Arabidopsis thaliana: one gene and its partners. The protein of the gene in region 2 purifies or fractionates together with the protein of the main gene of each other region. This does not show direct contact. Each region holds a gene or a part of one and is shown on either strand. Other genes may lie near its edges.

What was found. The genes of interacting proteins can lie anywhere in the genome.
Region 1: the proteins of AT4G04940 (region 2) and AT3G26480 fractionate together in Arabidopsis thaliana (co-fractionation; one large-scale study listed by BioGRID). This does not show direct contact.
Region 3: the proteins of AT4G04940 (region 2) and PWP2 fractionate together in Arabidopsis thaliana (co-fractionation; one large-scale study listed by BioGRID). This does not show direct contact.

Annotation. Positions count from the first base shown.
Region 1 is NC_003074.8:9,685,963-9,693,723, forward strand, and holds AT3G26480 (Transducin family protein / WD-40 repeat family protein), read right to left. Parts: upstream 5,005-7,761; 5' UTR 4,866-5,004; coding exon 4,746-4,865; intron 4,657-4,745; coding exon 4,480-4,656; intron 4,390-4,479; coding exon 4,243-4,389; intron 4,170-4,242; coding exon 3,824-4,169; intron 3,699-3,823; coding exon 3,580-3,698; intron 3,500-3,579; coding exon 3,422-3,499; intron 3,300-3,421; coding exon 3,135-3,299; intron 3,055-3,134; coding exon 3,010-3,054; intron 2,907-3,009; coding exon 2,737-2,906; intron 2,652-2,736; coding exon 2,573-2,651; intron 2,484-2,572; coding exon 2,407-2,483; intron 2,327-2,406; coding exon 2,197-2,326; intron 2,110-2,196; coding exon 1,980-2,109; intron 1,898-1,979; coding exon 1,731-1,897; coding exon of another isoform or gene 1,707-1,730; intron 1,681-1,706; exon of another isoform or gene 1,656-1,680; coding exon 1,311-1,655; downstream 1-1,310. Other genes in the region: AT3G26470 (Powdery mildew resistance protein, RPW8 domain-containing protein), read left to right, coding at 182-589, 681-938.
Region 2 is NC_003075.7:2,510,566-2,520,394, forward strand, and holds AT4G04940 (transducin family protein / WD-40 repeat family protein), read right to left. Parts: upstream 6,653-9,829; 5' UTR 6,488-6,652; coding exon 6,362-6,487; intron 6,280-6,361; coding exon 6,252-6,279; intron 6,139-6,251; exon of another isoform or gene 6,118-6,138; coding exon 6,017-6,117; intron 5,924-6,016; coding exon 5,720-5,923; intron 5,612-5,719; coding exon 5,368-5,611; intron 4,986-5,367; coding exon 4,810-4,985; intron 4,725-4,809; coding exon 4,642-4,724; intron 4,365-4,641; coding exon 4,292-4,364; intron 3,820-4,291; coding exon 3,754-3,819; intron 3,560-3,753; coding exon 3,517-3,559; intron 3,156-3,516; coding exon 3,016-3,155; intron 2,737-3,015; coding exon 2,524-2,736; intron 2,403-2,523; coding exon 2,318-2,402; intron 2,191-2,317; coding exon 1,896-2,190; intron 1,800-1,895; coding exon 1,535-1,799; intron 1,441-1,534; coding exon 1,215-1,440; intron 1,122-1,214; coding exon 907-1,121; intron 797-906; coding exon 647-796; 3' UTR 463-646; downstream 1-462. Other genes in the region: DES-1-LIKE (fatty acid desaturase family protein), read left to right, coding at 1-353; GRXS17 (thioredoxin family protein), read right to left, coding at 7,317-8,537, 9,032-9,106, 9,189-9,359.
Region 3 is NC_003070.9:5,304,717-5,312,384, reverse strand, and holds PWP2 (periodic tryptophan protein 2), read left to right. Parts: upstream 1-2,826; 5' UTR 2,827-2,924; coding exon 2,925-4,166; intron 4,167-4,266; coding exon 4,267-4,518; intron 4,519-4,606; coding exon 4,607-4,699; intron 4,700-4,839; coding exon 4,840-5,211; intron 5,212-5,310; coding exon 5,311-5,655; intron 5,656-5,738; coding exon 5,739-5,966; intron 5,967-6,055; coding exon 6,056-6,226; 3' UTR 6,227-6,358; downstream 6,359-7,668. Other genes in the region: BOR4 (HCO3- transporter family), read left to right, coding at 1-103, 184-350, 437-610, 685-780, 857-973, 1,065-1,402, 1,496-1,775, 1,925-2,044 and 1 more; AT1G15430 (hypothetical protein (DUF1644)), read right to left, coding at 6,595-7,374. UniProt on the Arabidopsis thaliana protein: Involved in nucleolar processing of pre-18S ribosomal RNA. Plays a role early in ribosome biogenesis, especially in the maturation of 5.8S rRNA. Required for guard cell functions.

The sequences.
Region 1 (7,761 bases), on a different chromosome or scaffold from region 2:
CCTTGTTTCTTCTTCATTGAACTCTTGAACAAATATTATATGGAGATGTCACTTGTCACTTCGAGTTGCTAGGAAACTTCCACCGGTGAATTCCTCCTCTATACAGATTAATTAGTTCATATCCCCTTGTCTCTCAGCTCTCTATCTCCACACTTTTTCTCTTTAACATATCCTTTACTAAATGGCCGTCACTGATTATTTCGCCGGTGAGATAGCGACGGAGCTTTTGAAGCAGCTCTTTCTGATATCTGCGAGAGCAGGCCGGTACAAAAACACAGCCGACAACCTCAGCACCTTGATCGAGAACATTCAACCGACGATCAAAGAGATCCAGTACAGTGGAGTTGAGCTGCCTGCTCACCGCCAGGCTCAAATCCGTATACTCTTTGAGTCTCTAGAGAAGGGCAAGAAACTCATGGACAAATTCTTAACATGCAATCGTTGGAATATGATTCGACAGTTATATCTCATGAAGAAAATGGAGAAGCTAGAGAAGACCCTCTCTGATTTCTTTAGGGCTTCCATTTTGACACACATCCTTGCCGATCTTCATCTTCTCCGGGCCAATTCTGATGAACGTTCCCATGAGGTCTATCTATCTTTGTTTTCTTCTCTCTCCCTTGTGATTTCTTGTTCACCAAGTTTGAAGGCCATCTCTATAATACTCGTTTCTTTTGCAGCACGTCACATCAACCAAAGGGTGTGACTACGACGGACTTGGCTCAATTCAGTACCAGCACATCCAGCCTAACCTAGACATGGATATGCGGGTCACCATTTTGGAGGCTGAATTCCGCACCTTCTCCAACAACGTCATCAACAACATGCTTGCGATGAAGCGAGCGCAAGATGTCTTACTACGAGCCAACGGCTTTGACCCCGAGACCCTCCTACCGATGATGTCTCCTCCTGCAGCCTCCATGAATCCTCCTGCTTGACCACATACGACTTAGGATACTTGCAACCCACTCAACCTTGCGGACTACGATCTTTAAAACACAAATTGCTTTCGATTTATGTTTTTCAATTTGTTAAATTATGTTTCAGTCACAATTTTAAATATAATTTATCGTCCACTACTCTGTTTTAGCTTCTTCTTTTTCCATACGTTACAATTGACCTTACTTTTTTACGTATTAAAGAGAGAATTGGTTTATACACCTCAAATCAGCAGGTTCTACATGATGAATGAAGCCCTTTTAATATCAAAACAACCCTTTTAGTAGCTGAAGGAATCAGATTGTATCTCTAACAAAAAGGCTACCAACAAAATGATGTTATCCAAGTTGGGTTCCAAAATATGGGGTCTCTCAAGAGCTATGTCTTTCAGGTTGTCTATCTGCTCTCTCACACACCTCTTTCTGCATCCGGGAACTGAAGAACGAAGCGCACAAGTCGGGGAAAGGCGGGAAATTGAGTGTTGATCCACAAAACATTGTTTCCCAAGGTTTCTCTGACATCAATGCTTTCTTCCTAGATCTCTTCTTCTTTTTGCTTATTGCTGCAAGAAAAACTTCATAATCTATGGCGCTAGTCTCGAGTTTTTCATCGCTATAAGGATCAAATAGAACATATTCATGGCTCCTGTTTACATACGCGAGAAGCGGCTGAGACTTTTTACCATCTTCCACAAATGAAAGTGTTCCTCCTCTGGCCTGCAATAAACATTGTAATCAAGTCTCTTAACGGCAATGAGAGAACTTTGATTAATCCTTCCTTAGAGTATATACCTTCATTACAGTCCAAATAGCTACTGGTTTAGGGCCTGACCCATCAAACAAGAGGATAGCACCATCTTTCCCGCGGAATATCTGTTCGTTAGATTTTACCAACCTATCAGATTCTGGAAGCCATGTTAAAACTGCAAAGTATGGTGAGTCCACTTCAGTAGCAATGGCTGCAAATAAACAGGAAAAATGAAATATACTTAGACAACCAAAAAAATCAAGATTTCATGATCAAAAAGATAAATAATAAACCTTCTATGTATAATCTATATGACCATGATAAGCAGAACGTCATCAGATCCCAGACAGATAAGTGCGGTGTGGAACCATGGGATGCAGCAATAAGGAAGCCTCCTCCAGTGAATGAGAGTTCCATAATTGGCTGAAACATTTACATATCATTTAAGATTTCAACAATGACTGTAACTAATGAACATGGAATTGCTTTTGTGTGTTATACAAGTCTTACCGCATTTGCCTTTCCAACTACATACAGGAGTTCGTTCTTTAACGGGTGCCAGATCGTAATAACTGTTTTAGCCGCAAGAGCCAGACAAGAACCATCCCCGGAAAAAACAGCAGCTGTTATTGGCGTTCTCCTGAAAAATATTACATCAATTTCATTTGACATCACAACGACTAAGTAATGAGAGATGTTAAAAGGTTCCTAATCTTTTACTTATAAGAGCCAACTCCATGACAAATCCAGTTTGAGTCCTCAGGTGTCAGATTCTTGTCGCTACTGCAAACCCAAATCTTGACAGACATAAAGTCATATCAGTAACACAAAAGGTCAAACGATATTCCAAGGAAATGATCCATTTTTCACTACTCTGTAATCCTACCTTGAAGTCCCCAGCAGAAGATATACTAACAGCCATGGAACGGGCGGGGTTAAGGGCAATGGCTGTAATTGCAGCTTCCCTGTGAGAATACAGAAGGATCAAAAGTTACACTCACGATGAGAATCAAGGAGTTTAAAAGTTTATAAGAACATTGAAGTAAAAACCTGTGAGGTTGATTTATGACTGTCGATAAGCTGAAAGTTTTGCTGTCCGGTACAAATACCCAAAACTTGAGAGAAACTATGCCTTCACTGAAATTGCTTGCAGCAAATCTGGCCTCAGCTGTAGTCATTACTGAGCCATTCCGAGAGAGAGCAACCGCAGTCACGAGAACCTATTTTCCATAATTCTTCAAATTATTACAAAACAGAAAGAGAGCGGATCTTTTACTAGTAACAACTATGTCATCTTACAGAGAAGAAACAAAATGTACTAACCCGGACTTGATCATCATCGTCTGGATGATGATCGCAAATTTGAACCTGCATATGTTAGGTTTGTTAAATAGTAAAATCATACAACTATCAGATACAAAACTCAATAAGCCTTTTGGGAAGCTAACCTCTGAAATGTCATGGTCACTTAAAAGGTTGTAGAGTTGAACACGATGATTCGCTGTGCAGAAAGCAGCTATACCGGAAGAACGATCAATGGATACAGTTCTGGTGAGGCATATATCCCGCGTTTTGACGTAGCATATAAACCCGTGACGCTCTGGTGTCGGAGGCTATTACATAGTAAAGAACACAATATGCATGTGAAGTTAACTCCAACAGAAACGGTATACAATATGAGCATGCTTAAACCAACAATAACAAGGAAAAATTTCGGATGATAGTAAGAACGAACCTTGATTCCAGATATCGTTCTCAATATCTCCATGGAAGGCATTTTAAGAAGATGAATTTGATTATCTGCACAAATCACCTGAAAATTCTTGATCTTAGTAGAGTTAATGAAACACTTCATTTGCTTTCTACGGTTGTTGTAAACGGAAAAACTCTTACAGAAGAAAGAGTTGAATCTGAAGAGAAGATGAAATACAACAAGGGAGATCCAATCTTTGGCAAAAGTTGCTTCTTCCCTGTACCTAGCTCCCAAACAACAAAATCACCTGCCTTTACCCCTAAAAGAGTCACAAGCAAAGGAAATATAGCATAAGAACTCAATATATATATATATAAGAAACATGAATTCCTTATCAACACACAGAGATACAGTCACTATGATGAAAAAATAACTCAGACTCACCAGAATACAAAAGTGCTCCATCTGAAGAGAAATTAAGGACGGTTACTTCAGCGCTGTGCCAGTTGAAAGTAGTGCAAGATTCAGTATCATCTTCAGTTTTCACTGAAGTAAATTCTCCAATACCATTATCCTTCCAAATTAACACTCTTCCTGTTACATCACCGGCTGCTAATATTCTCTGATTGGGATGGAAAGCAAAAACAGTAATCAACTCTGTATGATGTAATGTCGTCTCCTTTGGCATGAGGTGCTCTGATGCCACATTCCATATATGTATACTGCAGTTATGACAGACGCCGAAAAACTCTCCAGAGGGACTTAAAACAATAGGTTTTGGTTCTTCCATCTGCACATTAACAAAAATGATTATAGAATCAAACATGAGGCTAATCGAAAAATGGTTAATCCACAAATCTGACCTCTTTCAAAGTGTCTCCACTATGAAGAGGGTCTTGAGTGAGATCATATCTCCGGATTTGTCCAAACAAATCTTTGGACACACTTGAATAGTCCTCAACCGAAACATAAGCAATCACGGAATGTGACACTTGAGCTGGAATCATCACCTACAAAGTCCCAACAGACACTTAGAAAAGGGCAATTGAAAGTTATCAAATTTTTGTTTATAAGCTGCAAAGTATGGAACTTTAACAGACCAGAGAGTGAATTGGAAGGTGGGTATCAAATATCTTCAAAAGCTTCGGCGCAGAGAACTCCCAAATCCGAATTTTCCCATCGAGCGACGAAGTCCAACAGTAACTGACGGTTTCGTCGGAAGACGGATCAACAATCACAGACGTCACAGGCGCTGTATGATCCTCGAGTGAAGTAATCTTAAAAACACACACACGCATACGCTAATGAGAGAAGAAGATTAGAGGGAAACCCTAAAAGGAAGGATGCTCGAGTCGAGAGATAAAACCTTTAAGCCAGTGGCGACGCTGTAAACAGAGACGGTGTTGGCTGTGCATAAAAGAAGCTTCTTTGCGTCTTTCGAAAACGCCGGAGCGGAAGTAATGTTGTTTCTTCCGCCGCGAATCATTTTCCTTCAACTCACGGAGATTCTGAGAAGACGCAAACATCTTACTCGGCGATTAAAAATTAGATTTTGCGACGTTTTTCCGACGAAATATTACAATGTACCCAGTTTTCGAGGAAATTATGTCTGTGACCAAATTGCGACTAGTACTTAGTACTATATGCTTGTACTTGTAGTTTCACTTTCTTCGTAACACCTGGCTCTGTGATGACTCCTCTCATTCTCTTCCTCCATGTTTGGGTTTCGCTTCTTGGACTAGGCCTTGACCTTGTTGGGCCTCGGCCTGTTTGTTTATTTTTTCTGTTTTATCTTTAATAAAATGAGACGGCAAGAAAATAACTTACATAATTTTTCAAGATCTTAAGTATTTTGTATTTTCTTAATTTATGTGAAAAACCCTGTGGATAAACAAAATATAATGTATAGTCCAATAATTGGAAATTTTGTAGTTAACAAACTCACTTCGTTTTAACAAAATATGGATGGATGATTCAGAGGCATAGTATGCGACATTAACTGTATTACAATGGTCGACAATGACTTTGATTTTTGAGGTCGTCCAATAAATACTAAAATGTATGGGTATGATTTTAGGTTGACCAATAAACTTCGATATCCATCGTTAATTCCATGAATGTTTTAAAAAACTGAAGTTGCTTCTATTATATATAAGTTAATCTATTTTATAATTTTATTTTATGACAGTTTAGCTATAATTTCTTTTCAAAAACATTTATGTTCTTAATTTATCAATCTATCACTTTCCTCGTCAACATATTACTTTTTTTATAAATCTTTTGCATATGACTAGCTTATCGGAAAATCGTTCATATAGATAGCGACATAACTAAAATAAAATTAGAAAGATGATATTGTTTTGATATAGTGTTTGTTTGTCTTGTTTCAAAAGACTATGCAATCAACTAGTTGTGCGTCTTGTGGATCTAACAGTTTTAAAAATGTTTAGGGTCAATAGTTTAATCAGACTTGGAACGGTAGTTTATACCTTTAGATACAATATTATCTAAGGTTAATTTATGTCATGGAAAAGTTATATATAGACAAAATGTTCAAAAAATTTAGGATTTATTGTGAAAAAACGAGAAATGGTAGATGATTCATATACATATCAACTTATTCCAAAGTAAAAAGTTTAAGAAATAAGAAAAATAAAAATTGTAGCGTAACAAACATTGACATATGGCTCGTTGGAAACAAACTAAATGTAATAATTATAGTTGTTCATCAAACTATTCGCATACAACCATCATGAACGATGACTAAAAATGGGAGACAAAGTGGGACTTTTGTAAATCCTACGTTTAATGAATTAGAATGTTGAATTATTTTTTCAGATTTTTATACATATGAATTGTTGCTTTCAGTGTTCTCTTAACCAATGAAAGTAAAGATGCTCAAAGGCTAAATATAAAGAAGATAAATTTCATTTCTCTTGATTATTCTCTTTAGGGTTTAAGATTACATCATGTTTCCTTTCATAGGCATTATAATCTTAGTGACACTAGGGTTTTCACTGACACATGTCAGGTCTCTATTGATCCTAGACAGTCAAAACAGTTTTGTAAAACCACTCCTTCTTTTCCAGCACAGCTCCTTGTTTTTGTCCTTTGATCCAATCTTGATGTACTTTTGGTTTTGTCTTCTTTTGCAGGAGATGACCGTTGGAGCTGAGAGTTGTTTAGGGTCTGCGCTTGGGCCTGTTGTTTATTGGGCTTGAGGTTTGCTGCATTCTCAATTTGGCCCAATCTCAGAACCTTCTTGATAATGTCATCTGAAGAATTTACCTTTACAGATTCCTCTGCTTCGTGTCCGATCACAGCTCTGATCTGGTTCTTCTCTTCACCAATCCGAGTTGTTGTCTCAACACAAGATGCATTCTCTCTAATAGCCCCCCGCAAACTCGGCGTAGGTGGAACATCGACGCCTAGTTTGTAACGAAGATCGCAGAACGGCTTGATGGGGAGAGATTTGGTGAAGATGTCCGCGATCTGTTGATGACCAGGTATGTGCTTCACAATCAGAGCTCCAAGTGCTACTCTCTCTCGAACATAATGATAGTGTAGCTGAAAGTGTTTACTTCTTTTGTGGAAAGCTGGATTCGCAGAGAGATACACGGAGGAGAGATTGTCGCAATAGATTTCTGGAGTGTCAAGTAGAGGAATGCCCAATTCCTTGAGAACAGATCCTAACCAGGTTACCTCCGAGGCAGTGTCAGACAGAGTTCGATATTCAGCTTCGGTTGAGCTTTTGGAGACTGAATCTTGCTTTTGTGAGGACCATGAGATGATATTTGTACCAAGGAAGGTACAGTAACCTCCAATGGATCTTCGTGAGTCTATGCAATTTCCATAATCACTATCACAGTAAGCTCTCAATCTGCAATATGTGTTCTTATTAAAGGAGATCCCCATTGTTATAGTTCCCTTGATGTACCTCAGAATTCGTTTGAGCAGATTGAAGTCAGACACTGTTGGAGCATGCATCTTCTGGCAAACAAAGTTAACAGCAAACTGTATATCAGGTCTTGTTAAGGTAAGATATTGAAGTTTACCTGCAAGACTTCTGAAATATGTTGGATTGTCAAAGATTTCATCTTGTGCAGGTATAGCAGTCAACTGAAGTGGCAGATGAGTAGGCATTGGAGCACAATCACTCATCACAGCCACAGCAAGAAGATCTTCTGCATACTTCTGTTGGGAGAGAAACATTCCTTCTGAATGAAACTGCACTTGAATCCCCAAAAAGTAATGTAGTCTTCCCATATCTTTCATTCTGAATTCAGTATTCAAGCTGTCTAATAGCTTTGACATCGCATCTGAACTGTTTCCTGTTATTATCATGTCATCAACGTAAAGCAGCAGCAGGATGATACTCTTGT
Region 2 (9,829 bases):
TCGGATGGAGATCTTTCGCGTATCTAATCTTATCGACATTTGTTGGAGGCGGTATGCATCCAATGGCGGGACATTTTATCTCGGAACATTATGTTTTTAACCCGAATCAAGAGACTTATTCGTATTACGGTCCATTGAATCTACTAACATGGAGTGTTGGTTACCATAACGAGCATCACGATTTCCCGAGGATACCGGGAAATAAGCTGCATTTGGTGAAGGAGATTGCAGGAGAGTATTATGAAGGATTGGAGTCGTATAAGTCATGGTCACAAGTGATTTATATGTATATTATGGATACAACAGTTGGTCCTTATAGCAGAATGAAGAGGAAGCTCTCAAAGTCTGACTAATTTTTCTTTGTTTCTTACATCAAACTCTTCTTTTATTCTATTTTAGTATTTTTGTTTTGAGGGTTGATTTTTTCAACTTTATTGGAGGACAAATCTGTGATCTTAGGTTGCAGATTTTATGATTTCTCACGGAATTTAAACCCTATCATCCAATTCAGGATAACGTTGACATGTTCCATTTGATACATGTTAATGCTAAAAGACAGGGCAATATATTAAGCTTCTTCAAAATTGCTATTTTTGTGAAAAAACAGAGCAACATCAAAAACAGAGCAATAAGTTAGTAAGCTTCTTCAAAACTGTGAATTGCTAAGGAAGGTAACTATGCATCTTGTGCTCTGGAAAAGCTTCTCCATTTTCTGCCACACCAAACTCTGAGTTTCTAAAAGCTTCTTCGCCTTCTCTTGTAAACTCGGGTGGCACCTTATGGTCTCACCGTGGATCTGTCAACAGATAAACCGAGTTTTGTTAAGAGTCAAGATTCTTGTAACCTAAAGGTGTCTCTGTAAGAAACTGATTCCTTGGTTATACTGGAAATGAAATTTACATTTACCTTCAGAAATAGTTTCACAACCGCCTGCATAAACTCAAAGTCGTTTTTGCAAGAGACCTCGTTGATGAAGTAATCCAGAAGTTGCCCAATCAATATAAACTCAGGTCTTTTGATAAGCTCTTCTTCAACATCTTCATCTATGATTTCAAGCATCCGAAGCTCCATGTCGAGAGCTGACGGGGATAAACTCTTCATGTAGTTGGTAAAATCTAAAACTGCAAAACATACATGGAGCTAAGAATCGTATTGTACATTGACGAGAAAAGCTTTGATTAACCTGTAAAACTTAAACAAATACCATCACTTACAGTGTTTTGAATCCCATGAAGACTTGAGATGTTTTGAGAATGGAGATTCCAATGCATCAAAGTTCTTCATGCTATTCTGGTCCTTTTTATTATTTTCCTCATTCTCCCCATCAGCCTCAGAGTCATTTGCCTTGAATAATATATCTCCAGACAGCGAGGGAATTGAGGGCAAGAAAAAAGGAGCCTTTTCAGGTTTCTTTGGAGGCTCTATTGGTTTATTGCGGGCCTATGAAACAACATCAAATATAAATTGTAACTGGAAGACGCAACAAAGAAACAAACCATCAATAAAAAGTTGAGAAGAAAAAGAATATGCATACCTTAATAATATCCAAGTTGATCAAACTCTGCCATTGGCTTTTTGGCAATAGAGACAGAGTAACAAGTTCTGGGATCTGCTTTTGGGAAATTGAGAAACTGCTAGCTTGTAGAGCTTCAGAATTTTCTAACACTTGCCTGTCCATATCATCATCAGCTTCAGAAGATGTCAATGCAGAGACTGAAGGCAACTTGACATTTACGACATCTTTCCCACTAGCATAAGATTCAACACTTGGAAGCCCAGAGAACATGGATTGGTTAACCCTGAGAGGTCACAAGAGGAGAGAGTGAACTCATCAAACAATCACAGAGAAATTGTAATAGTAAATGAGAGAACTGAAGATTGATTTGAGAATTTACCACAAGTAGACCCCGTTCTGATCAGAGTGGGCAGTTGCCAAAACGTCCATATTTGGTGATAAAGACAATGCTGTTATTGGCACATCGACATGCACACCATCAATCTGCTTAGCCAATATGACATCCCATATTCTAAGACTTCCATCCATGCTAGATGAGATGACCCATTTGCCATCCTCACTAAAGCACAAATCCGTTATACGGTCTGTATGACCTCTAAATTCACGAACCATCTTTAGTGTCACAACATCATATAAACGGATAACAAAATCATCCGCCACTGTAGCCAAAAGACCTACCAATTGATAAGAAATTAGCAAAGTCAGAGTCAATACGGTGGTACCCTAGGAGAAAATGACGGAAAATGATACATTTGTGAGATCGTACAAGTGAAAATGTAGGGTTAGATTAGGAAAATTTACCATTTACACGGTGGTAGACAATTTTAACCAACGAACATCCGACATCCCACTGGGACTTTAATTCCCGCTTTTTGAAATCCCAAACCTGTATTACACAAATGAAATATTAGAGTCTATTTGACTCATAAACTAGAGTTAATGTTGAAGGTAACCATATCAACTAAGTAATTAATAACTTAAAGAAAGAACAAGAAAACATTCCAAACCTTTAAGTCCCCATGATATCCTGCACTAATCATGAGTGTGTTTGTGGAGTCGCAAGCAACTCCAATAACTTCTCCATCATGGGCGTACCTTCTTTTCTCTGACATATCGAAGTAACTACCCCGGCTGATTCCAGATTGGAGGTTGAATCTCTCAATCCATCCACCAGCTGTTCCGACTACTGCAAAGTTTCCACAGGCACTGATTGCACATGCCTATCAGACAAGCAATTTTTTAAGAGATCAACAACCACTAGAGAGAAGAAAAAGACCAGTATTGCTAAAAGAAGATGGTTCCTAGATACAAAGACCCCCTGAACATGCTATAAGGAACTGTAACTAAACTCATTTTTTGTAGAATTGGTTATTCAAGGGGGGTCAATAATCCAAATTCCAAGTTCTCACAGTAATCAATTCCCACCTATAAGGACTAAAGCACGTCTACTTTTCTTGTTCAGAAGAGTGTCAGAAGTAAATATAATTTCAATTTTGAACCTTAATTGGTGTTGGATTCTCAGGGCATGGTTTGAGGATATGCTCTCCAAGTACAAAGTTCTGAAGTCTCCATACATATGCTTCTGCTGTATCCATATGGCAAGTAACAACATTGCACCAATCACGCTCCCTAATTTCAGCTTCAATTTTTGGAAAAAAAATAATAACAGTCAGTAGGATGTATAACTAGACAATAATATAAGTTGTGGGAGATGCAGTTTTCTCGTCATCAACATGCAAATTCATAGGACAACATAAAGTAAGATGTAAGCTTCACTTCACAAAATGTAATTTCTCTATGGGGTTCAACCAATAAACGTTTTCACTATTGAGAGCCAACCATTTTGGACCTAATTACTGCTCAACACATTTTGTAGAAATCAATTGGTTTCTACTTTTTAGTCTTGTTTGTTCAGACATCATAATATTAAGAATGTGACTGAAAGAAACCAAGCAACATAATTACATGAAAAGTAAAGATCAAGTTATATAGATACGTACCGCAATCAAATGAAACAACAGGCTTCAATTTCAACTCTTCCTCCTACATATAGAGGAAAAAGAATATAAGCGAAAAAGATATAATTTCCAAGCACACATATTACTACGGACACATAAAATATCAAAACACAGTATACATAAGGTATAACATTTGTTAAATTGAATCAGAACCACTTGAAGCATGCTAACTGGCCATGGAAAACTTGAATAAAATTAAAAGAAATCCTTTGGCTATACCTTCAGTCGGAGTTTTTTGGCTCGCCTAGAAATGTGTCTTTGAGAAAGCTCTCTACTTTGTTGCTCCTGATGAAGTAATTAATGTAAATTAAAAACTGTTATCGTCAATGGACATCAGATCTTTAGTAACAATACAGACCACAAATTAAGAAACAATAACTCAACATTTAAGAGAACAATCAGATTCATGAAAAAATCAAACAAACAGGTCGGTGAAAAAATACCCATCAAAATAACAGTAAGATATGGCGAATGAAAGACGGAATAAGAAAAACTAAACTTTGCGTCTAAACAGTACATGATGAGGAAAATGATTGCTAATTAATTAATTAATATGACAAAAATGAACTCAACAATCTTTTATGATTATCTGTTCAATGCCCAAGGAAGACTAATTTCCTAACATTTGTGATTGTAAAGTGACAAATGAATAGTCAATGTCTACAATATAGCTCAAAAGTTACAGACTATCAATATGCTAGTTAGTTGTATTAAATCTCGATATAGAATTGGTTACTAAATCTGTATCGTATCTTACCTGGATGACAGAGAACAGGCGGAAGGCACGATCCTGGCCAGCAGACAAAATGTGCCGTCCATTAGAGTAGAACCTACCACAAGTAGAAGTCAGATATGATTAAGAGACCCTTTATTGGCATGCCCTCGATATAGCCACCATGAAGTAAATACTCTTATTAAGAAACACAAATATTCATCACTACACAGATAGTCAACTGGCAGGGATCATAAATGGAATTACTTTAACAACGAATAGGGATCATAAATGCTACTTACACACCAAAATGTATAAAGTCTCACAATAACGAAAGAAAAGCTAAATGGAAGCAATCAGATAATTCAGTATGATGTGGACGTCAAGCTAATTACCTGATACATAGAGGAGGAGCACTATGCCCAGATCGGAAGCGTAATAGGCGAGGATCACCATCATTTGTGTCAAAAATCCACATCTACAGGAACGAGGCATAAAACAAATATTATATGTGGCAAAGTGGATGCAAATAGGTTCAACGGGTAAGAGGAATCTTAGCTTACTTTAAGTGAGTTATCTGCTGATGCACTCATTAGCACCGGCTCATTGGCTAAAAAGTTCAATGAGATTATAGAACTGTCATGTGCATCCCTAATGACTGACTGAAGCCTTTTTTTGTTAAGATTCCAGATGCTTATGACACCAAAGGAACCTCCAGACGCAAGAAGGGGACGTCCATCTAACATGACAGGATAAACAACACATGTTAGAACTGGAAAGTATCGAACTTCCATTAGCTATAGAACGGTTACTACCAAAAGTTACTAGTAAAATTACAACCTACACTAATGGATCTCTTGAGCCTGAAACATGTATGGACAATTCTAATTCATGAAACAATGGGTGCATAGATGGTAAAGCTATGTAATGGAAAAATAAATATTTAGCTCCACTTAAAGACAAATGGACGAAATTATTTTTGGTCACTACACTCATAGGATATCTATCAGCAAGAAAAGATTGATAAACTATTATCCGCTACGAAATTAGATTTAAAAGGTAATAAAACCAAGAAGCGCTCAAAGATTTTACAAATAGAACTACAGGGCTTAGGTGTTTACCTGTACTGAAAGACAAAGCAGTAACAGCACCTCGCGAGGCATGTTCAAATGTTACGATCTCTTCGTCCAATTTTATGTTATGTACATGGATCTTTCCATCAGCACAACCAATTGCAACAACATCCAGGGCAGGGGATGAAACACAACTGGTGACAGATGAACCCCAACCCTTAAACTGATAGAGCATCTTCTTAGTATTAATATTCCATAGCTGCAGCGGACCCTCTTGGCTCCCTACAAGAACCTACCAATGTGGTTCCAAGTAAGAGAAACATGCAAAGAGTTAGAAAGGCTTGTCAACAGAAGACACCAGGGGAAAAAAAACTGAAATCCTGAACCAAGTATGACTCACCTTGTTGAGATAGGTATCTGGGTGAACAATAGAGGTAGGGGTAAACTTTCCAGTAAGCTGAAGATTTCCAATTGGAGCTAGATGTTCTTCGATTCCTTTGAATGCCCATATGAACATATTTCCTTCCACGTCAAGACTAAGCACATGTTCTCCAAACACCAGTAGAAGATCAACTTTAGCAACATGTTTGCTCCAAGTTGCTACCTATAGATATACCCACAAGAATTCCAACTATAAACAAAGTACTCATAGATATAAAAAAAGCAGCAACTTAACTATAGTTACAATGAGATATACCTGATGAGCACGCCTAAAGACAGCGATTTCATTGCCAAACGCAACAAATGTGTAGTCTCGGTAAGAAGCTAAAGCTCTAATTTTCTTTGGAAGCTGAGGACCTTTAAGATAACACAAATTAGATTATAAGAAAATTTACACTGCATAGACAAAACCCAATTCTAAATGCATGAATTTGAGTAAGAGAATGATTGAAAGGACAAAACTTTAGGTTTCAGAAGAAGGAAAAACTTACTGATTATGACTAGATTGAGCTTGGCACACTGCAACAAGAGAACCAAATTAACAACAGAATCGAATGAATAAAGAACACGCAAGTGAAACTATGAAGATTGGGAGCGTTACATTATAAATCTGGAAAGCTTTGCCGACGCTGACGGTGACGAAAGTCTCGGTACCCAATCGCTGGACGGAGAACGGAACCGTACTCGTTATGTAACCTATTGCTCTAAACGGTTCGAAAATTCCCATCTTTCGAGTTCGAACAAGAAATTAGGGTTTCCTCGGAAAAACGATTTTAGGATTATCAAATCAAAGAAAGGTTTTTTAAGAGCTTGAGAGAGAAAACGCGGCGCAGGAGCGATGGAGGAGATACAGCAAACAAGACCTTTGGGGTTTAGGGTTTAACGAAATTTCTTTGTCCGAATTTTAATTTTATTTTCCGGTTTAAGTGTCCGCTCGGTTTATACAGGTTCTTTATTTGGTTTGGAGAATGTTAAATTTGGTTTGGTAAAATTATGGTTCGGTTTTGGCTAAAAGTCATTGAAATGTAAAACCAAAACCATTTTAGTTTAATATTTAACTAATTGTCAATATCAGTATCAATTTTAAAATTATGATGACTTTTGGTTTAAATCTTGTTTAAATGTACAAAGTCTCGGTTAATGCTCGATTGCAGTTTGGTCTAAACTCTAAACAAATGATTTCCATTCGGTTTGATTCTAAGAAATTTGAGTTTAATCACACAAAATCCCAGCCGTCGGATCTTAAGAAACTCTGTAACATAGAAAGATTGGTGTTAATCCTAGCCGTCGGATCAAGCTTTCTTTGTTTAAACCACTCTTTGTTTTGTTACTCAGTCTAAAAGCAAATGTGGTCAAGATAACCATAAATAAAGATTATGTTGATACAAAGAGAGAAAAATAGTTATGAATCTAATAGACTCAGCAATAGAAATAACAAGACAAAGCTTGAGAAGCAACAATATCAATGTTTGTAACACCTAAAACATATTATTACCATAACTGAAATGTTCTCTCTCACCAAGGCAAACCAGCAGACAGAGACTTGTATATATTACTTACTCGGATAGAGTTGCTTTGAGATCACCACTCTCACTTAGCTCCATAATGATATCACATCCTCCAATTAACTCACCTTTGTAGTATAGCTGAGGAAAAGTTGGCCAGTTTGAGAAATTCTTAATCCCTTGCCTTACTTCTTCATCAGTCAAGATATCAAACGATCCGAAACTCACGTTTTCTCCTCTCAATGCTTTCACAACTTTGGAGCTAAATCCGCATTTCGGTTCATCTGGTGAACCTTTCATGAATAGCATTACTTCCGAGGAATTGATCAGTGCCTTCAATCTATCTTCAAGACTCTGTTCTCCAGTGATCCCTTTCTCGGTCAAGACCTTTTTCAGCTCACCGCTCTTTTGCATCTCCAAGACAATGTCTGATCCACCCATAAGCTCGCCTTTCACGTAAAGCTGAGGATAGCTTGACCAGTTTGAATACACTTTAAGGCCTTGGCGAACTTCGTCATCTAAGAGGATATCGAAACTCCCAAACTCGATTTTTTCTTGGTTGAGGATTTCAACCACTTTCCCACTGAACCCACACTTTGGTTCTTCTGGTCTTCCTTTCATGAACAGCATAACTGGTTTGGAATTGACCAGACCTTCGAGCCGAGCTCGGAGGGTCTCACTTAAGCCTGTGTTTCCTGAACTAACCCCTCCTCCTTTTCCAGCTTCATCCTGACTTTCTTTTGAACCAACTGTCGTGATCCCAAGATCTTTGAAAGCATCTTTTAGTTCACCGCTCTCGTGCATCGCTATTGCGATATCAGCTCCACCAAGAAGCTCTCCGTTGCAGTACAGCTGAGGAAACGTTGGCCAGTTAGAGAATTTCTTCAAACCCTCTCGCACTTCGTTATCCGATAGTATGTCAAAACTTCCAAAATCAACGTTAACCTCTTTCAAAATGTCAACTACTTTCCTGCTAAACCCACACCTAGGCTCTTCAGGAATACCTTTCATGAATAACATGACAGGGTGAGAATTAGTGAGCTTTTCCAAACGGCTCTTGAGAGCATCGGCGGTAGATACAGGCTGAGCTCGGTCTTGTAAAGAAGCTTTCGCATTCTCCTTCACAGTTTCAAGAATCGTTGGCCCAGCAGCCAACCCTAAGCTTGCAGGAGCAGCAGGCTCCGCAGAAGTACTAGAACCAGCAACTTTGCCAACCTTATTAGCTAAACTTGATGGATCTGCACCCTCAAGTGTATCCACAGTTTTACCATCCTTCAATAAGAAAACGAATTCACAGTCAGAAGAAAGTAACAACTTTCAGAACAATCATTACAGTGCAGTGACAAAGATTCAAGCTTTGAACACACTCTCAATCCTATAAAGACAGAAAATTGCAACCAACCAATTAAAACAAAGAATCAATAAGTCTGGAGCTAAATGGATAGGCGAACCATCTTCTTCTACTACCTGATTAGATAAACAGCTTTCAGTAATCTAACAGAGACGCAAACTAATCAAAACAAAAACCCTAAATCCTAAACTTTCGATCAAAACATAGGGACAAAGATTCAAACTTTTGAACACACTCTCAATGCTATAAAGACAGAAAATTGCAACCAAACAAAGCAACATAAAGAATCAATAAGTATGACTTCATCAATGTCTTCTTCTTCTACCAAATTAGACAAACAACTTTAAGCAAAAACAAAAACCCTAAATCCTAAGTTTTGATCAAATCATAGGGAACAAAAAAAACGTAACTTTACCTTGAAGAAGACGAAATAAGGCACAGCAGCAACAGAGTAAGCCTCAGATATCTCAGGATGTTCCTCAGCTTCAACCTAAGAAGATAAAACCAATAACAGTCAAAAACCTCATTGAAAGTGATAAAATTTTGAATTGGTCAAGAGAACAGAGACGAACCCTAAAGAAGTGAGCACGAGGGAAATCAGTAGCGAGATGAGAGAAAACTTGATCCATCTGCTTCGAAGCATCACACCAAGAAGCCCAGAAGTGAAGCACGACTGGTGCGCCGCTCTGGCGCAAGTTATCAAGCTCCGCCTTTGAAACGATATCCTTCACCGTACCGCTCATCTTCGAAGAGGGAGAAGGATCTCTTAACACTTTTTTTTTGTGTTGTGATTTACCAATTTATTATCGAGCAGAATACACTCTGTTGCTGGAGAAAGAAAGGAGATTTATGTAAATATAACAAAATAAAAGGACCTAACGATACAATTAGGGTTTTTGTGTGCCCAATGTGATGCTAAAATTGCTCACTTATGTAATTTCTTTTTATAAAAATAGTAAAATTATATATGTCAGCGGAAGGAAAAAAAAATTGGAAATTAAGTAAGGTAAAAATGTTAAAATTCTAGGTGATAACAATCTTTAAAAATAAAATAATTTTGAAAAATATTAGATACATTTAAATTAAAACTACTAAAAGTAAGTTTGACTAATAAAATCTTAATCCTATTTTTTTCTTTCTAAAATTAATACTAATTAGAGGAATTGTATATATCAATCCTCATCGAATTGGATTCTCATAAAACAGTCTAAGA
Region 3 (7,668 bases), on a different chromosome or scaffold from region 2:
GAGTGGCTCTATACAAACGGACTTCTCGGCCTCATTTTCACCTTTGGCCTTCTCTACACCGCTTTGAAGAGTCGAAAAGCAAGGTCTTGGCGATACGGAACAGGTAAGATAGATGAACCTTCTCATGCTTTGGTGGTCATTTCTGTGTATGATCGGTCTAAAAGTTTCTGGTTTCTTGAAAAGGATGGTACAGAAGCTTCATCGCAGACTATGGAGTTCCTTTGATGGTTGTGGTTTGGACAGCATTGTCTTTTAGTACACCATCAAAACTCCCCTCTGGTGTCCCGAGAAGACTCTTTAGTCCTTTACCATGGGACTCTCCTTCTTTATCACATTGGACTGTCATCAAGGTTACAAAAACACAGTACACTAAAGATAATTGATTCATCATCCGAGCCAAACTTAAAGTTTTAATACATGGATTTGGTCTGTACAGGACATGGGAAAAGTCTCTCCGGGTTACATATTTGCGGCATTTATACCCGCATTGATGATCGCAGGGCTTTACTTCTTTGACCACAGCGTTGCCTCGCAGCTCGCTCAGCAGAAGGAGTTCAACCTCAAGAAGCCTTCAGCGTATCACTATGACATTCTCTTGTTGGGTTTCATGGTATAATCAATCAAACTACCTTTACAACATTGAAAATATATGTTAAAATCTCTAAAACTTTGTCTTTGTTTCAGACGTTGATATGTGGATTGCTAGGTCTGCCTCCTTCAAATGGAGTCCTCCCTCAGTCTCCTATGCATACCAAAAGCCTTGCTGTTCTTAAACGACAGGTTTAATTACTTCTCAGTTGTTGATCCACTCACTATTCAGGTTAAGCTGGTCTTAATGAACCTGTTTGATTTTCAGTTGATCCGGAGGAAGATGGTAAAGACAGCCAAAGAAAGCATCAGGAAGAGAGAAACATCCTCACAAGTGTACGAGAATATGCAAGAAGTCTTCATAGAAATGGATAAAAGTCCACTTGTAAGTAGTAGACTCATAATTCAATGTTCCGGTGAAAGAAAAATCAAGATTTAATTTAGAATAATCATAAGCTCTTGCTTTTAAAAACCAGGCTCAGACAGATCCATCAGTGATAATTGAGCTTCAAGATCTGAAAGAAGCAGTAATGAAGAGCAATGATGAAGAAAGAGAGGGAGACGAGGAGAGTGGTTTTGATCCAGAGAAGCACCTTGACGCTTACTTGCCTGTTCGAGTCAACGAGCAGAGAGTTAGCAACTTGTTGCAGTCACTGCTTGTGGCAGGTGCAGTGTTGGCTATGCCGGCCATTAAGCTCATACCGACTTCCATTCTATGGGGATACTTTGCTTACATGGCCATCGACAGCCTCCCGGGAAATCAATTCTTCGAACGCTTAACGCTTCTCTTCGTTCCAACAAGCCGGAGATTCAAGTATATGTTCTGAAAATGATCTGTTTTTTTTTTCTTCAAGTTATTATTATTCAGATTTCTCTTCAAAGACTGATCATGCATTGTTGTTTTCAGGGTCTTGGAGGGAGCACACGCGTCGTTCGTGGAGAAAGTTCCTTACAAGTCAATGGCTGCGTTCACACTGTTGCAGATATTCTACTTTGGGCTGTGCTATGGGGTGACGTGGATTCCGGTGGCTGGAATCATGTTTCCGGTTCCTTTCTTCCTCTTAATAGCTATCAGACAGTACATTCTCCCGAAGCTCTTTAACCCGGCCCATCTCCGAGAACTCGATGCCGCTGAGTACGAGGAAATCCCCGGTACTCCGAGAAACCCGCTGGAACTGTCTTTCCGGGTTAGTCCATATCTTAGCAATATCTACATTTTTGAGGATCCCGGACTTTGGACTAAACCATGGAGGTTTTCTTGTCATCTAAGGCATCTACAGTGACCTAAAATATTTGAATTTGTTGAATTTAATGCCAAAATAAACTTGTTTTACAGTCGAATGACTCGAAGAGAGGCGTCCAAGAAGGCGATGCTGAGATTTTAGACGAGTTAACGACAAGCAGAGGCGAGCTTAAAGTCCGTACATTGAATCTTAACGAAGACAAAGGCAACCAGGTTTTGTTTTGTTATGCATCCTTGATATGAATCTTAACTTTGTGAAAAGAATTATAGACTCAAGATCGCTGTTAAAAACCTGCAGATTTATCCCAAGGAGAAAGTAAAAGCAGGAGACGGGGACATGAGCACGACAAGGGAGTGAGTGAATCAACAAAAAGAATCAGAGATTATTCTTTCAAGTGATGATCATGATCATGATCATACGCAAAACTATATAGTATTGTAGAACACAGATTGTATGTGGCTTTCTTTTTTTTTTTGGTTCTTAAACCTAAGATGATGTGTGTGTTTGTCAATATAGTCTTCTTAGCAATGAAAATCGATAAAGAATTAACACAGCGAGAATGTTACGGATATGTAACGTAACCTTCCAAGAAAAGGTACTAAATTTCAAAAAAGTCAATGTGTTCCTCATAATTTCAATCTATGAGTCAATAATCACTTTACCATAGACTAAAATTCATTTTGTTAACTTTTTGTGTAGAAGAAAAGCAAAGGATAGCTTCTCTTCTATGGTAAAGATGCGAATCTGTAGTTTGTTTGATGTTCTCTGCAAAATTCGCATGTATAAAATTAATTAAACGTTTAGAAATATAATAGATGAACTTTATAGTACAAAGGATCCGTGGCGCAATGGTAGCGCGTCTGACTCCAGATCAGAAGGTTGCGTGTTCGATTCACGTCGGGTTCAAATATCCCGAATCTTGATCCTTAATTTTTTTTTCCTCTTGGGCTTACTACGACTACATAAGGAGGAAGCCCATATATGCCCAACAACTAAAATCCAGTTCATAACAGAAACCCTCGTTAAACCTAACGCCGTAATTATCGCCTCCGGCATATCAATCCTCCGCCTTCTCATTCTTCTCCAGACGCCATGGAGTTCCGTTTCGAGAATCTTCTTGGCGCTCCTTACAGAGGCGGGAACGCAGTCATCACTAAGAATACTCAGCTAATTTCACCGGTTGGTAATCGTGTCTCCGTCACCGACCTAAGTAAGAACCATTCGGTCACTCTTCCGCTCGAAACCTCTACCAACATATGTCGCCTCGCTTCCTCACCCGACGGTACTTTCCTACTCGCCGTCGATGAACAAAACCGATGCCTTTTCATCAACTTGCCTCGGCGGGTAGTTCTTCACAGAATTACCTTCAAGGATAAAGTCGGTGCCTTGAAGTTCAGCCCTAATGGTAAGTTTATCGCTGTTGGAATTGGTAAGTTGGTGGAAATATGGCGATCACCTGGTTTCAGGCGAGCTGTTTTGCCCTTTGAGCGGGTTAGGACTTTTGCTAATTCTGATGATAAAGTTGTCTCCTTGGAGTGGAGCTTGGACTCTGATTATTTGCTTGTTGGCTCAAGGGATTTAGCTGCTAGGTTGTTTTGTGTTAGAAAGTTGAAGGGTGTTTTAAATAAGCCATTTTTGTTTCTGGGTCATAGAGATTCTGTTGTGGGTTGCTTCTTTGGTGTTGATAAAATGACTAACAAGGTCAACAGGGCTTTCACGATTGCAAGGGATGGTTACATTTTTAGTTGGGGCTATACTGAAAAGGATGTCAAAATGGATGAATCAGAAGATGGCCACTCTGAGCCACCGTCACCTGTTACTCCAGATAGGGCTGATGAGGTGATGGTGGAAAATGGTGGTGGTGTTGGTACTGAGCTTAAGAAACGAAAAGAGTATGACGGTAAAGGTCTTGAATCAGATGAAGAAGGAGATGATGATGATGAAGAGTATATGCACAGAGGAAAATGGGTTTTGTTGAGGAAGGATGGGTGTAATCAGGCATCAGCAAAGGTGACCGCTTGCGACTATCATCAGGGACTTGACATGGTTGTGGTGGGGTTCTCAAATGGTGTTTTTGGGCTTTATCAGATGCCAGATTTCATCTGTATCCATCTGCTCTCTATTTCTAGGCAGAAGCTAACAACAGCTGTCTTCAATGAGCGTGGTAATTGGCTGACCTTTGGTTGCGCGAAACTTGGGCAACTGTTAGTCTGGGATTGGCGAACCGAAACCTATATACTGAAGCAACAAGGACACTATTTTGACGTCAACTGTGTCACTTACTCACCGGATTCGCAGCTCTTGGCAACTGGTGCTGATGATAACAAAGTCAAGGTAATGAAATTTCATAGACTTAACTGTTATGTTCTATACCATGCTTCTCATCTATTTCTGAATTTAACCAGCCCGTTTTTTATTATGTTACATTTTTAAGGTGTGGAACGTTATGTCAGGAACATGTTTCATTACATTCACCGAGCATACCAATGCCGTGACTGCTCTTCATTTTATGGCTGACAACCACTCCCTCTTAAGTGCATCTCTGGACGGCACTGTTCGTGCTTGGGATTTTAAAAGATACAAGAACTATAAGACATACACAACCCCTACACCCCGACAATTTGTTTCCTTAACAGCAGACCCGAGTGGTGACGTCGTCTGTGCTGGGACCCTAGATTCATTCGAGGTAATTCAACTTAGGCCCTGAAGGATTTCAGTCACCTACTCACAAATACTTTGGTGAGGTGAATCACTTTATGCTTGCCTATGTGCAGATTTTTGTATGGTCCAAGAAGACTGGGCAAATAAAGGATATTCTGAGTGGGCATGAGGCTCCTGTTCATGGGTTGATGTTTTCTCCCTTAACGGTAAAGAAACTGTCATAGTCTCATACTTCTTTTAGTCAAAATACAATTTGCTTCGTGCCTCTGAACAATTATGTGAACTTCTGCCTTATGGTGTTATAACTTCCATGCCTTATCTAGTTCATATATTTCTTTCTCTGCAGCAACTTTTAGCTTCATCCTCATGGGACTATACAGTTCGGTTGTGGGATGTGTTTGCTAGCAAAGGCACCGTGGAAACGTTTCGACACAACCACGATGTTCTAACAGTTGCTTTCCGTCCTGATGGGAAGCAATTAGCCTCGAGTACGCTAGATGGGCAGATCAATTTCTGGGACACCATTGAAGGTGTGTTAATGTACACCATAGAGGGGCGGAGAGATATCGCTGGAGGTCGGGTCATGACTGACCGTCGGTCTGCAGCTAATTCAAGTTCTGGAAAGTGTTTTACAACATTGTGCTATTCCGCTGATGGAGGGTATATTCTAGCCGCAGGAACTAGCAGATATATTTGCATGTATGATATCGCAGATCAGGTTAGCTAACTAGCTCCTCTTGGAGTTCAGGTTTTCTTAAAGCTTGTGTTCTTCTGATAAAGAAACTTAGTCAAAGTGTCTGGAATATCACCTTTTCAGGTTCTTCTGCGCCGGTTTCAGATATCCCATAATCTTTCGTTAGATGGGGTTCTGGACTTCTTGCACTCTAAGAAGATGACAGAAGCAGGACCAATTGATCTGATCGATGATGACAACAGCGATGAAGAAGGTGGCATTGATAAACAGTCGAGAGGGAATCTGGGTTACGATCTGCCTGGATCCAGGCCTAACCGTGGCAGGCCCATTATCCGGACAAAAAGCCTCAGCATTGCCCCAACTGGAAGGAGCTTTGCTGCTGCAACAACAGAAGGAGTCCTCATCTTTTCAATTGACGATACCTTCATCTTTGATCCGACCGATCTAGATATAGATGTTACTCCAGAGGTGAGCCTTTTGTAAATCGCTGATGGTGGTTATAGTTCTGATTATTGGTTTTGAAATGTAAAGCTAAGGTGTTGTTTGTGTAGGCTGTTGAGGCTGCCATAGAAGAGGATGAAGTTAGCAGAGCACTTGCTCTAAGTATGCGTTTGAACGAAGATAGCCTTATCAAAAAATGCATCTTCGCTGTAGCCCCTGCAGACATAAAAGCTGTTGCCATCTCTGTCCGCCAGAAATACTTAGAAAGGCTTATGGAAGCTTTGGTGGATCTGCTTGAGAACTGTCCTCATCTGGAGTTCATACTTCACTGGTGTCAGGTAATGTCTCGTTTTCTTCTCTTTTTTGATAAATCTCTGCTCAAATGCTCTCAACTTAATCAAACTTTGTGTTGTCTTTTTATGTGCAGGAAATCTGCAAGGCTCACGGAAGCTCCATTCAGCGGAACTACAGAACTCTATTGCCTGCACTGAGATCGTTGCAGAAGGCGATCACCAGAGCCCATCAGGATCTGGCAGATATGTGTTCTTCCAATGAGTACACGCTTCGCTACTTGTGTTCTGTTCCAAACAATCATTGATTATGTTTTCTGCATTATGTATCACCGGAAATTTTCATCTTCCTTTTTCGGTTAAACAAATTTTGAGATTTTGATATATGAGTTTCTAACATCTGAATACAAAATGGAGCAAAGAAATTAAACAGTTTGCAGGCAACCATAAAAAGTACGAAGAATGTGAATAATTTGATTTAAGCAGAGATTTTTGAATAGGCAAAAGATGATCCTAGCTATGAAGACTTCACTAACAGAAGCTAACATACAAACAATATTAAATTTATGCCTAGAACAAGAACTGATGTCGCTACAAGAACATTACATTATGATAAAAATCAAGAGACATCAAAACTTTTGGAAGAATTCCTCATAGACTCTGGCACTCAGAATCTTCATGGCGTCCATCTGGGATACATGGGGGCATGGAACTCCAGACGGGGTATGTGAGCCGGGTAATTGTCGGTGCTTGCACGGCTCTCCATGGACGCACCAAGAAACAGATTATGCACCAACGCATCAAAGTTGAGATCAATCATGGGATGACGATATGGAAGCTGATGGAGAGAAGTCGCCAACAATCTCTGTTCTGCATCCCATCTCTGACGAGCGTTGAGCATTTCAATGTACTCCGCCTCTCTCTCCAACTGCTCCCACATGTGTTGCTCCCAAGGGTCTAACTTTGGCGGTGTAAAACCAGGATGCTCAGTTTTCAAGTGATTTTTCAGCTGCGCATAGGTCCCTGAGAAATCGCACTTGTCAACAGTACAACACCTCGGTCTAGCATTCATGAATCTCCGAGCACAAGTCGACTTCATAGTCCCCTGAACCTCTCCTCTGCAGTAGGGACAATGTAGAGTCTTGCCACTACAACGGCTTGAGCTGTTGCTTCTGCGGTACTGCTTGAAACAATTGGAGTGACGAGCGCTTGTATCACACATGTAAGCACGACATCCTTTGGAGAAAGAAGAGCATTGCAAGAGGACAGCATTGTGAGGAGGCTCCATACAAATCACACACCTCACATCCTCCCATTCACTAACACTCTCTAACTCAACAGGTGACGACGACGCCTCGACTTCTTTTTGTTTCTTGTTCCTGCAAGAGCGAAGCGGGTATGGCGATACTCTATTTCTGTTGCTAGAAACCGGCATTTTCCCTCTTTCCTTGTGCATCCCACACACTGAAATCAATAGAAACGAGTGTTAATTCACACAACAAAATAACACAGATGAATATGAAAGCCAAAGAATCCATAATCCATTACATCCGAATAGATACAACCCAAATGTTAAACAAAGATCAAGGAAACAGAACAAGGACGAGCTCAAATCAGTCTATATTGTACGGTATTCGAGCATGAACATAATCCCACTGAAAACTACATTCTCAGCAGATGATAATCAAACAAGAAAGAGACAATTTTTTTTTAATTTATTGATAAAATAAATTGAAACTATTAACTTATC